Callithrix jacchus: one gene and its partners. The protein of the gene in region 2 interacts with the protein of the main gene of each other region in a pairwise test. Links are inferred from orthologs where the notes say so. Each region holds a gene or a part of one and is shown on either strand. Other genes may lie near its edges.

Region 1 (4,018 bases), about 21 Mb from region 2:
GGCTGCAGCCGGAGGTGCCTGTGCCACCGCTGCGTGGCCAGGATCCAGCCACAAGGCGTCGACTGCCAGAGATTCCTTCTCTTCCTCCTCCTCCCGCTTCCGCTTCAGACCCTTGCTCAGCATCTGCAGAGAGCAGGGAGTTAAAGTCAAGTTATGGAAAACAAATGTCAAGTTCAAAGCCTGGATCTGACAGCTGCTGCAGGTAGGATCTTTGGCAAGTCACTTAGCGTCTCTGTGCCTAGCTTTTGTTAGGGAACTTTAAAGATATAGGCAATTTTTATTTAATTGTAGATGTATATTTATAGACTTTTTTTTTTTTTAAGAGATGGAGTCTCGCTCTGTTGCCCAGGCTGGAGTGCAATGGCATGATCTCAGCTCACTGCAACCTCTGCCTCACGGGTTTAAGTGATTCTCGTTCCTCAGCCTCCCGAGTAGCTATAAGCCACCACGCCCGGCTAATTTTTGTATTTTTGGTAGAGATGGGGTTTCACCATGTTGCCCAGGCTGGTCTCAAACTCCTGACCTCAAGTGATCTGCCTACCTCGACCTCCAAAGTGCTCGTATTACAGGCGTGAGCCACCGCACCCAGCCTATAGACTTCTTACATTTTGTATTTTATATTTTATAAAGTATATTTATGGACTTCTTTATTTAAAAAAATAGAGATGGTGTCTCACTTTGTTGCCCAGGCTGGTCTCAAACTCCTAGCCTGAAGCAATCCTCCTGCGTCAGTCAATAAGTACTCTTTTTTCTTTCTCCTTTTATTTTTTGTAGAGACAGGGTCTCACTATGTTGCTCAGGGTGTCAAACTCCTTGCCTCAAGCCATCCTCCCGCCTCAGCCTCCCAAAGTGCTGGTATTATAACTGAGCTGCCACACCTTTTTTTTTTTTTTTTTTGAGAGACAATTTTTCTCTCTTGTTGTCCAGGCTGGAGTACAATGGCGAGATCTCGGCTCGCTGCAATCTCTGCCTCCCAAGTTCAAACAATTCTCTTGCCTCAGCCTCCCCAGTAGCTGGGATTACAGGCACCCGCCACCACGCCCACTAATTTTTGTATTTTTAGTAGAGACAGGGTTTTACTATGTTGACCAGGCTGGTCTCAAACTCCTGACCGCGCTCACGATCTGCCTGTCTAGGCCTCCCAAAGTGCTGGGATTACAGGTGTGAGCCACCTCGCCCAGACCACCAATAAATACTCTTAATGATAACATTATAATGTCTTCAGTGAACCATGTGGAATGGCCAATATTCACCTTTCCCCTACAAAAGCAGCTGTTTCACATAGTTTATTATAAGTAATTATGTATAAATTATAAATACTAAACTAGTTTCACATAGTTTAATATTTATTGTCTACTATATATTTCAAACAGTAAATAAATAAGCAAACACAGGAAATGTACAGAGAATTACAGGAAGACACTAAAAGGTCCTGGAGACCTTTCAGATGATCAGAGGAGGCTCCCGAGAGGAGGTGACATTTGAATGGAGCCCTCAGGCCAGAGAAGTCAGCCAAGGGAGACCCCCTGGGAAAAGGATTCTGGGAGGAGGGATCAACAAAAAAAGGCAACCAAAGACCCAGAGGCTGGATGGGCTTGAACTGAAAGAGACTAGCATGCCTGGCATACAGAGAGTGACATGGTAGGAGACCAGATTGGGGAGCAGCAGAGGAAACGGGCACCAGCCAGGTCACAGAAAGCCACATATGCAGAAGTAGGGAGTCTGTATTTTATCATGAGCGTGGTGGGCGGTCATTAAAGGAATTTGAGCAGGGAGGGGAGTGGTGTTGTGAGCTGACTGGGTTTCCGTCCCCCCATGGCTGCTTTGAGGAAGACTGGGGGGAGGGGAGGAAGAGGGGGAATCTGAGAACCACTGGTAAGCTGTACTCGGTTGGGACGGACGATGGTGATGGCCTGGAGGAGGAGCTGGTAGTGTATGGAAGGAAGTCGGTCGAGTCACGATTTATTTGGGAGGCAGAATCGACGGGGCTTGCCGGGAAATCGTGCTGGGCACTGGGGTCAGTCACTGAGATAAGTTTGAGGACCCACTCTCTTCTTGGAGTGGCTGGGGGTGGGGTTGGAGTTTTGGACCCCTGGCGCTACCTACCTTTTTGGGCCAGTAAGGGTCCAGGGTCCAGTTCCCGGGACCCTGCCTAGCAAGATCTTAAGAGTGGACCATCACACTAGTCAAAACTGGGTCTCCGTCCCCTTCCCCGCGGTCCCAGGAGTGAGGAACCGCAGGAATTCCGCCCCCGACCCCCGACTCCGCCCCCGGGTCCCGGCGCCCCCTAGCGGTGCCCAGGCCGGCTTTCCCCCGGGGATTCTGGCCCCTCTGACCCCAGGACTCCTACTGCCCCGCTTCCCGGCTGTGATTCCTGCCGGCCTCCCGGGGCCGTGAGAGCCGGGACCCCCGGCGGGCTGTTCTGTGCGCCCGGCCTCCGCTCGCTTCCGGCAGTGGAGGCGGCTCCTCCCGAAGCGGCGGCGGCGGCGGGGGCGGGTGAGTCACGCAGCCGGAGCCAGGGAGCCGGCGCCTCCGCCCCCTTCTCGGGCTGCGGCGTGATTCACCCGGCCCGGCCGGGGCAGACGGCACATAGAGGCCCGTGTGTCTCGATCCCGGTCAGCCCAGACGGGCACCTGTCGGACCCAGGGATCGAACTTCGTAAAGGACCCGGCCGCTGGCACCCCTTCTCTCCCCAGGCCCCTTCATTTACATACCCTGCTCACTAGCGGCCAATCAGAACAAAGAGGTAGCCATCCACAGCCAATCAGGAAACGGCGGCAGCAGCATCGCTTGCTCACTCTCCTCCAGCAACCGGCACCTGGATCGCAAGACGCAGTTCTGACTCGAGCGCACGACTCCAGACTCCTAACTAACCTTAGCGACGCCCACTCTCGTGGCTGCCCCTCCCTTCGCCCCAGGGATTGGCTCTGGACGGTGATGGGCGGAGCCTGTAGGGGGCGGATTCTGAAGGAGGGGAGGTTGGCTTCAGGGCGCATGCCCGGGCAGCTGCTCTAGTGAAGGGTGAAAAGAGGTGGCTTTTTACCCTGGGGAATGGTGGCGGGTGGGCCTTTTGCCTCTCAAAGTACGAGCCCCTCACAACTACCCATGCACCTGCCAAATATGGCAATTAAGGTTCTTACACATCACGCCCCGACAGGGGTCTACACTACAGATATGCCCGGGTTCAAATTCCGACTCCGGATTCACCACTCAGTAGATTTGTGACCTTGGAAAACTGATCGACCTCTCCAAGCTACACGAAGTTAAATAAGGATAGTCTTGCCTACCTCTTCACAGCAAAGTTTAAATAGGATGGTATCTATAAGAGCACAGTCTAGAGATAGGGTCCTGACAGGCTCTAAAGCATCATCTCAAAGGTTATTTGCTAACTGCAAAGGATGAAATCCTTTTATGATGTAGCCCTCATAATCTTAATCATGTAATGAAATTCTGCATTACCAATGGCGGGACACTGGGTGCCACCTACCATAATGCATTAGGATTAGGAAGTACATTAATAAGAATTAGGACATACCCTGTGGAGTCTCCCAGTTCACTGCATAAGCAGAATCTCCCCAGGCCTTTAGATTCAGCCTCCAGTTTACTGGCAATAGAGAGGAACAAATTAAACACAGTCAGACAAATCCAGAATGTGGGACACTCTACAGCACGACTGGGCTATTTTGCCAGAAATTCAATGTCAAGAAAAGATAAAAAATGGTTTGGGGCTGAGTGTGGTGGCTCACGCCTATAATTCCAGCACTTTGGGAGGCCAAGGCAGATGGATCACCTGAGGTCAAGAGTTGGAAACCCGCCTGGGCAACATGGCGAAACCCCGTCTCTACTAAAACTACAAAATAAATCAGCTGGTCGTGGTGGCATGTGCCTGTAATCCCAGCTACTCAGGAGTATAAGGCAGGAGAACCACTTGAACCCAGGAGGCAGAGGTAGCAGTTAGCCAAGATTGTGCCACTGCACTCTAGTCTGGATGACAGAGTGAGACTCTGTCTCACACACA
Region 2 (3,570 bases):
ACAAAACAAAACAAAAAAGAAGGAGCCAGGAGAGCCGGGCGCGGTGGCTCACACCTGTAATCCCAGCACTTTGGGAGGCCAAGGTGAGCAAATCACCTGAGGTCAGGAGTTCGAGACCAGCCTGGCCAACATGGTAGAACCCCATCTCTACTAAAAATACAAAAATTAGCCAGGCATGGTGGTGCATGCATGTAGTCCCAGCTACTCAGAAGACTGAGGCAGGAGAATCACTTGAACCTAGGAAGTGGAGGTTGCAGTGAGCCAAGATTGAGCCACTGCAATCCAGCCTGGGCAACAAGAGTGAAATTCCATCTCAAAAAAAAAAAATAAATAATATAAATAAATAAAGAAGGAACCAGGGGAAAGGTGTTCTAGGCAGAGAGTTTAGCAGAGGCAAAGGCCCAGAGGCCGAAAGAGTGTGGTGTGTTTGAGGAACAGCAAAGCCACTGTGGCTGGAATAGAGTTAGCAAAAAAATGAGGTGGGGAGGCATTGGAGTGGGGTGGAGGACCGGACCACACAGGGTCTCAAAGCCCTTGGGGAGATGTATGTGATGGAGGTGCCCCCCACCCAGTTCCCACTGTCCACCCCATGCTCATGATCCCCAACCCCGGGGCTGTGCACCTACCATAAATTTTAAAAGCATAGTAGGCCTTGAGGTCACGGGGAGCCATTTCGCTCATCACGGAAAACATGTCCAAAAAGTTATCTAAGGTCATGTGGCCATCCCCATCGTCAGAGAAGACCTGGGCGATCCTCTGGCGGAAGGGGTTATCCTGGGGAGAGAAAGGAAGCTGGGAGGCCATCTTCCGACACCCAGGGTCTCTAGGGCTCCATGTGGTTTCACTGTCAGCACCCATTTTATGGGAACCTCCAAGTACCCTCCGTCAAGACTCACTCTCTCCCACAGTTCCCGGACAGGACTTTGGACAACTCCACCTTCTTCTGCCCCTGTGGTCTGAGCAAACTTGACTCCCACTTCCAGCTCTTGGAGCAGCCATATTACCCAGGCAAGGCCAATCATAGAGTTCCATTCACCTGGCAACAGTGATTGGCTCTGGGATGGGCATGTAACTCAAATTAGCCAATCAGAGGCTGCCCTGGGACATTTTTCTGAAAAATTGGGAGGGAGAGGATCTGATTTCTGTTGCTTGCAGAGCTCACAGAAGCTAAAGCTGAGTGACTGAGAGGTCTTTTCACAGCCTCAAGAGGAGAGGCTCCCTGAGACTGAAACCTCTTCCAGGGAGAAGCCGAGAGATGGGGAAGATTCCTGAGCACATCATCAGAGCCCCTGGTTTCAGCCATGCCTGACACTGTCCCTGCCCCTGGATTTTTTTTGTTGTTGCTCAGGGGCGATCCATTCTGATCCAGTCCATTCTGTCCCTCTCAAATAAGGTTTTTGTCACTTCCAATAAAATCAATCCTACTCACAGTCACTCAATCCACGAGTTCCCCTCAAAGGCACAAATCATGTGTCAAACATCCTACTGAGAAAGCCTGCATTTAGCAGCTCCTGTTACAAAAAGAATTAACATTCTCTGAGTACTTGACATGCAACACACCCTGTACTGAGGTTTGTTTTTTGTTTGTTTGTTTTGAGACAGAGTCTCACTCTGTTGCCAGGCTGGAGTGCAGTGGTGCGATCTCCGTTCGCTGCAACCTCCACCTCCCAGGTTCAAGCAACTTTCCTGCCTCAGCCTCCCAAGTAGCTGGGACTACAGGGGTGTGCCACCATGCCCAGTTAACTTTTGTATTTTTAGTAGAGATGGGGTTTCAACATGTTGGCCAGGATGGACTCCATCTCTTGACCTCATGATCCACCCGCCTCGGCCTCCCAAAGTGCTGGGATTACAGACGTGAGCCACCACACTGGCGAGCTCTGGGTTTTAACGTTGCCTCTGTCGCATTGTAGCTGTGTGACCATGAACAAGTGTCTTAACCTCTCGGAGCCAGTTTTCTTATCTGTAAAATGAAGATAACTGCAACACCCACCTCATAAGAATGCAACGAGAGACATCTGTAGTAATTTTTCCCCTGCCTGTCCCATGGCCTGGGCATACCTTCAGCTCGGGCATGCTGCCAATGAGCTCGTAGGGCACCTTCACATCAGGACAGGTGGTATAGTCGAGGGGCACGAGCTGCGGGGCCAGGTCCTGGTACCGATGGAAGAGCCTGATGTGGGGAGAAAAAAGCTGAGAGAGGCTGGGGGCAGGGAGTAGGCAAGAGGCTTGTCCCTTTTTTGTTTTGTTTTGTTTGTTTGAGACGGAGTCTTGCTCTGTCGCCCAGGCTGGAGTGCAGTGCTTCGATCTCAGCTCACTGCAACCTCTGCCTCCTAGGTTCAAGCTATTCTCCTGCCTCAGCCCCCTGAATAGCTGAGATTACAGGTGCATCCCATCACGCCTGGCTAATTGTTTTGTATCTTTAGTAGAGATGGGTTTTCACCTTGTTGGTCAGGCTGGTCTCAAACTCTTGACCTTGGGTGATCCACTTGCTTTGGACTCCCAAAGTGCTGGGATTACAGGCCCGAGACACCGTGCCCAACCAAGTCCCTTCTCTTTCACATTCACAGCTGCCCACTGCAGACCAAGTGATACCAGGTCCTCAAGAACCCTCAGCCCTGGGCCTGGACCTCAAGCATACAGAGTCTGACACAGGCAACTCTACCTCCCTCGGGGCAGGACCAAGGTGCAGAGAGGGCCACAGGACACAGGGAGACTGGACTGGGGAAAGCAAGCTAGGGAGGAGAAGGGGGTTCCTGGAAGAGGGGACATTGGTGCTGGGCTTTGAAGCATGAGTAGGAGTTTATAAGGCAGATGAAGTTGGGAGAAGGGAGGGTGCTTATGGCCAGATCACAGCAAGCATTCAGACAATCCTACATAATTTACCATCTCTGGATATCATCATGTTATCAGCAAGATCCTGCCTCCAAAGATACCCTCATTTGTTTTCTTTTTCTTTCTTTCTTTTCTTTCTTTCTTTTTTTTCTTTCTTTCTCTCTCTTTTTTCTTTCTTCCTATTTCCTTCTTTCCTTCCTCCCTCCCTCCCTCCCTCCCTTCCTCTCTTCTTTCTTTCTTTCATGAAGTTTTCCTTTTGTTGCCTGGGGTAGAATGCAATGGTGTGATCTCAGCTCACCTCAACCTCCGCCTCCTGGGTTCAAGCGATTCTCCTGCCTCAGCTTCCTGAGTAGCTGGGATTACAGGCATGCGCCACCATGCCCAGCTAATTTTTTTTTTTTTTTTTTTTTTTTGGTATTTTTAGTAGAGACAGTGTTTCTCCATGTTGGTCAGGCTGGTCTCAAATTCCCTACTTCAGATGATCCGCCTGCCTCGGCTCCCAAAGTGCTGAAATTACAGGTGTGAGCTGCTGCGCCCGGCTGGTACCCTCATTTTCATATCTTCCCTTCCCCTCCTCATAATGGGAGGAAGGAGCTGGGTGCAGTGGCTCACTCCTGTAATCCCAGCACTTTGGGAGGTCAAGGCAGGAGGATCACCTGAGGTCAGGAGTTCGAGACCAGCCTGGCCAACATGGGAAATCCCATCTTTACTAAAAATACAAAAAAATTAGCTGGGCGT
Region 3 (4,051 bases), on a different chromosome or scaffold from region 2:
CTCCAAGAAAAAAATTATTTCAAAATTACCAAATGACTACAGTTAAAACCTTCTTCCTACTTTACAGAAGAATACAAACTAATAAATGTAGAATGAATGGTGGAATTTGAAAATTTATTTTGCGACCATATGCAGTGGCTTGCGCCTGTAATCCCAACTACTGGGGAGGCTGAGGCACGAGAATTGCTTGAACATGGGAGGCAGAGGTTGCAGTGAGCCGAGATCACACTACTGCACTCCAGCCTGGGAACAGAGTTGGACTGTCTCAAAAAAAAAAAAAAAAAGGAAAATAAAATTTATTTTGTAACCCCTAAGGAAATTTGAGGAAAAATTTAAACTTAGTGTTAAAGCCAGTAGGTGACCCTGGCCAGGTATGGTGACTCATGTCTGTAATCCCAGAACTTTGGGAGGCCAAGGCTGATGAATCATGAGGTTAGGAGATCAAGACCATTCTGGCCAACATGGTGAAATCCTGTCTCTCTACTAAAATACAAAAAATTATCCAGGCATGATGGATGGTGCATGCCTGTAGTCCCAGCTACTCAGGAGGCTGAGGCAGGGGAATTGCTTGAACCCAGGAGGCAGAGGTTGCAGTGAGCTGAGATTGCACCACTGCACCCCAGTTTGGCAACAGCAAGATTCCGTGTCAAAAAAAAAAAAATTAGGTGAATGGCTGGTAGAGTACTGGACAATGGATACATACAAGGGAGAATCACACAGATTACTTTCTGACCACAGGGTAAACCTTAATAGAAAGCTTAATTAGGCTTTTCACTACCTTAATACAAGTATCACCAGATTCGGGTAACCAGATGTATCTCCTGATGTAATGCAAGATGAGGCCTACCGTACACGAGGCACTCTTGCCAAAAATCTTGAATCCAATTAAGCTGTAAGATCTAATCCTAATTAAAGGTAATACAAGTGACAGAAGATAAAGCTAAATTATCACGAGGAAGCAATCTGATATCTCCAAAAGAAACATCCTGTAACACAAAAGTTAGCATTATGAAAAACCTAATCTCAATCATGAAAAAATAAAACTATTCTTCTAACTTCAGAGACTCAAGGGACATAATCACCAGATGCAGTGTGCAGTCTTAAATTCTGGTTTGAACAAACCAGCTACAAAGTATCTTTAGGAATAGCTAGGGGCATTTGCATAAGGCTGCATCTAAGATGATTTAAAGGAATAATCAGCTGGGCGAGGCAGCTCATGCCTGTAATCCCAGTACTTTGAGAGGCTGAGGCAGGTGGATCCACTTGAGGGCAGAAGCTAGAGACCAGCCTGACTAACTTAGCAAAACACCTCTACTAAAAATACAAAAAATTAACTGGGCGGAGTGGCACACACCTGTAATCCCAGGTACTTGGGAGGCTGAGGCATGAGAATCGCTTGAACCTGGGAAGTAGAGGTTGCAGTGAGCCCAGATCACACCACTGCACCCCAGCCTGGACAACAGAGCCAAGACCCCGGCTCTCTCTATATATGATATATCATATATTAAAGTAATATATTAATTATTAATATATTAAATAATAAAAATAATATATCCAATTTTGATAGGTTTGATTATGTGGTTTTGGCTATAGATCAAATGTTCTTTTTTAAAAAAAACCCTAGAAGAGTTGGGAAGATCTTGTTTTATTTTTTAATATAATGAATTTTAGAGACACCTGGATTATCACAAAAGCTTTCTAACTATTGTCCTTGAATCCAGCCCACATCCACCAGGGCACTCCTTTGAAAATGCAAATCTAATGGAGCCAGATCATGTTTAAACTCATCAAGGGCTTCCTACTGCTCTTGGAATAAGCAAGCCCTGAATGACCTTAATGGTGTCTCTGGGCGCTCCCCCACCCCACCACCCCTCCCCCCATCACTGTCTAGACACTGGTCTTTCAGTTCCTCCTAAGAGGAAGCAGCCACCTCTGGTCTCAGACCTGAAAAACCTTCACTTGACCAGTTCTGTTCTCTAGTCCCAGACCAGATTCTCAGCTGTCTCCTAAGCTCCCAAATCAGGTCAAACACCTCCGGTATCTGTTCCCATGCACCCACGACTTCTCCTTCTCGTATGCTGTACATTTCCAATCATTCAGCTAATGATTTATTTATTTATTTATTTATTTTTAGAGACGGGGTTTCACCATGTTTGCCAGGCTGGTCTTGAACTCCTACCCTCAAGTGATTCACCCGCCTCGGCCTCCCAAAGTGCGGGGATACAGGATTGAGTGCCTGGCCTCAGCTAATGATTTATTAATAAAATTTTATATCTATCTGTTTTATGGTAAATTCATCATCATATTCCAAGGGTCCGGCAAAAGCCTACCACTTAGTAGGGCTCCAATTAACATTTTCGGTTTTTTTTTCCTGGTCGTTTTCTGCTCACTTCCTAACCTGATATTTGCTGTTCTGCCTACTCACGTCCCTCGCCAGAAAGTTGCCTGGAACCTTCTTACCCTCCACGCGCCCAACACGAGCTCTACTGCTGGGCGAACATTATTGGAATAAACGACGTATGATACACCTCAATCTTCCAACCCTCCCTTTCCACCCTTCCCTTGCAACCCCTCCCCTCGGGTTTCTGCTTCCCTCGCCTCCCCTCTCCTCCACGGCCTCCCCGCCCCGCCGGCCCCCACCCCGCCTGGCCCTCCCGGCCTGCCAGGGGCTGACACCTGACTCACCTGGGCGGCCTCGTGCGCCGCCTGCCACCGGCTCAGCTCCCCAGTCTCCTGCTCCATTTCAGCCTGCGCGCGGCTGTACATGAAGACTTGGTGAGGTCTATGCTGTCTCCTGAACAGACGGGGCACCTGCCACCACGGCGTCTCAAGCGGGTATCGGGACATCACCACGCCACAATCACCTTCTATTTACCTATTTACAGCTGCGCCAGGGGGCGGAGTCAACCCCACCCATCCCTCCCTGCGCCGACCCCGCCCTGCCCCAGGCCACCCACGGGCCCTCAGCAAGCCCCAACCAAGGCAGCGTCACTGACGGCCACCGTAGGCCTTGACCGCTTCTTAAAGGAATTTTGTCCGCCCACCAAAACCACCCATTCCACCCTTCAGTCTGAGCTACCGTTTCACCCAAGTGGAAGCTGGGGACGCGCAGGTCTCAGACTTCAGCCAGGAGGAGGCTGGAGAGAGAGGCAAGGCCGGGTGTAGGGCCTTCTGCTGAGAGGAGAGCCTCTGCCAGCACTCTACCAGGTCGGGATCTTGCCATAAACTTTGGGAGGGCTGGAGCTTTTCTGCTATAGGCCGGACACCTCTGTCCCTTGTCTGTACAAAAACTGACGACTGGGAGCTTCATGGCACAACCTATTTATTCTGCAGTGTTTACTGAGTGCCCAGTATGTGTTGGGCCCTGATCTCAGAATTAGGAGTAAAATGGTAAACAGGAAGAACAAAGTCCTTGCTGGCAATCTCCATCTTACATGGGCAGACAAGAAATGAGTAATAAAGCTCATAACTATTATCATTTTAGATGGTGATGAGTGCTATGGAAAACCGAAACAGAGAAATGTGAGCTCAAAGCTACATGCCTCAAAGGAACCAGCCAGAGAAAGGTCCAAAGGCTCTAAGGCAAGAAAGAGCCGGACAGTGCTAGAAGGCAATTGAAGGCAGGGCAACCACAGTGATACCACAAGGGCAGTGACATGAGGACAGAGGGGTAGGGCCTTGAGGACCATAGAAAGGAGTTTGGATTTTATTCTAAGTGTGATGGGAAAGCACTGATGGATGTTAAACAGGAAATTGGTATGATCTGATATATGTTTTTAAAATAAACCATCTGGCTCCTCATCGATTATAAAGGGCGAGAGGGATGCAGAGAGAGCAGTCAGAAATCTAAAGGAGCAGCTGGGTGCGGTGGCTCATGCCTGTAATCCCAGCATTTTGGGAGGCCAAGGCAGGCGGATGATGAGGTCAGGAGTTCAAGACCAGCCTGCCCAACATGGTGAAACCCCATCTCGACTAAAAATACAAAAATTAGCAGGGCATAGTGCCACATGCCTGTAATCCCAGCTACTCAGGAGGCTGAGGCAGGAGAATC

What was found. The genes of interacting proteins can lie anywhere in the genome.
Region 1: the proteins of CIB3 (region 2) and SERTAD1 interact in binary tests that used the Homo sapiens proteins (3 or more experiments, as listed by UniProt). The two-hybrid records come from large-scale screens. The link is inferred for Callithrix jacchus from reciprocal best matches to the Homo sapiens genes CIB3 and SERTAD1.
Region 3: the proteins of CIB3 (region 2) and KLF17 interact in binary tests that used the Homo sapiens proteins (3 or more experiments, as listed by UniProt). The two-hybrid records come from large-scale screens. The link is inferred for Callithrix jacchus from reciprocal best matches to the Homo sapiens genes CIB3 and KLF17.

Annotation. Positions count from the first base shown.
Region 1 is NC_133523.1:35,982,820-35,986,837, forward strand, and holds the start of SERTAD1 (SERTA domain-containing protein 1), read right to left. Parts: upstream 2,841-4,018; 5' UTR 2,715-2,840; intron 124-2,714; coding exon 1-123. UniProt on the Homo sapiens protein: Acts at E2F-responsive promoters as coregulator to integrate signals provided by PHD- and/or bromodomain-containing transcription factors. Stimulates E2F1/TFDP1 transcriptional activity.
Region 2 is NC_133523.1:14,787,383-14,790,952, forward strand, and holds part of CIB3 (calcium and integrin-binding family member 3), read right to left. Parts: intron 2,171-3,570; coding exon 2,059-2,170; intron 775-2,058; coding exon 627-774; intron 1-626. UniProt on the Homo sapiens protein: Acts a an auxiliary subunit of the sensory mechanoelectrical transduction (MET) channel in hair cells. Plays a role in regulating hair cell MET channel localization and function.
Region 3 is NC_133508.1:80,798,956-80,803,006, reverse strand, and holds the start of KLF17 (Krueppel-like factor 17), read right to left. Parts: upstream 2,841-4,051; 5' UTR 2,767-2,840; coding exon 2,686-2,766; intron 1-2,685. UniProt on the Homo sapiens protein: Transcription repressor that binds to the promoter of target genes and prevents their expression. Acts as a negative regulator of epithelial-mesenchymal transition and metastasis in breast cancer.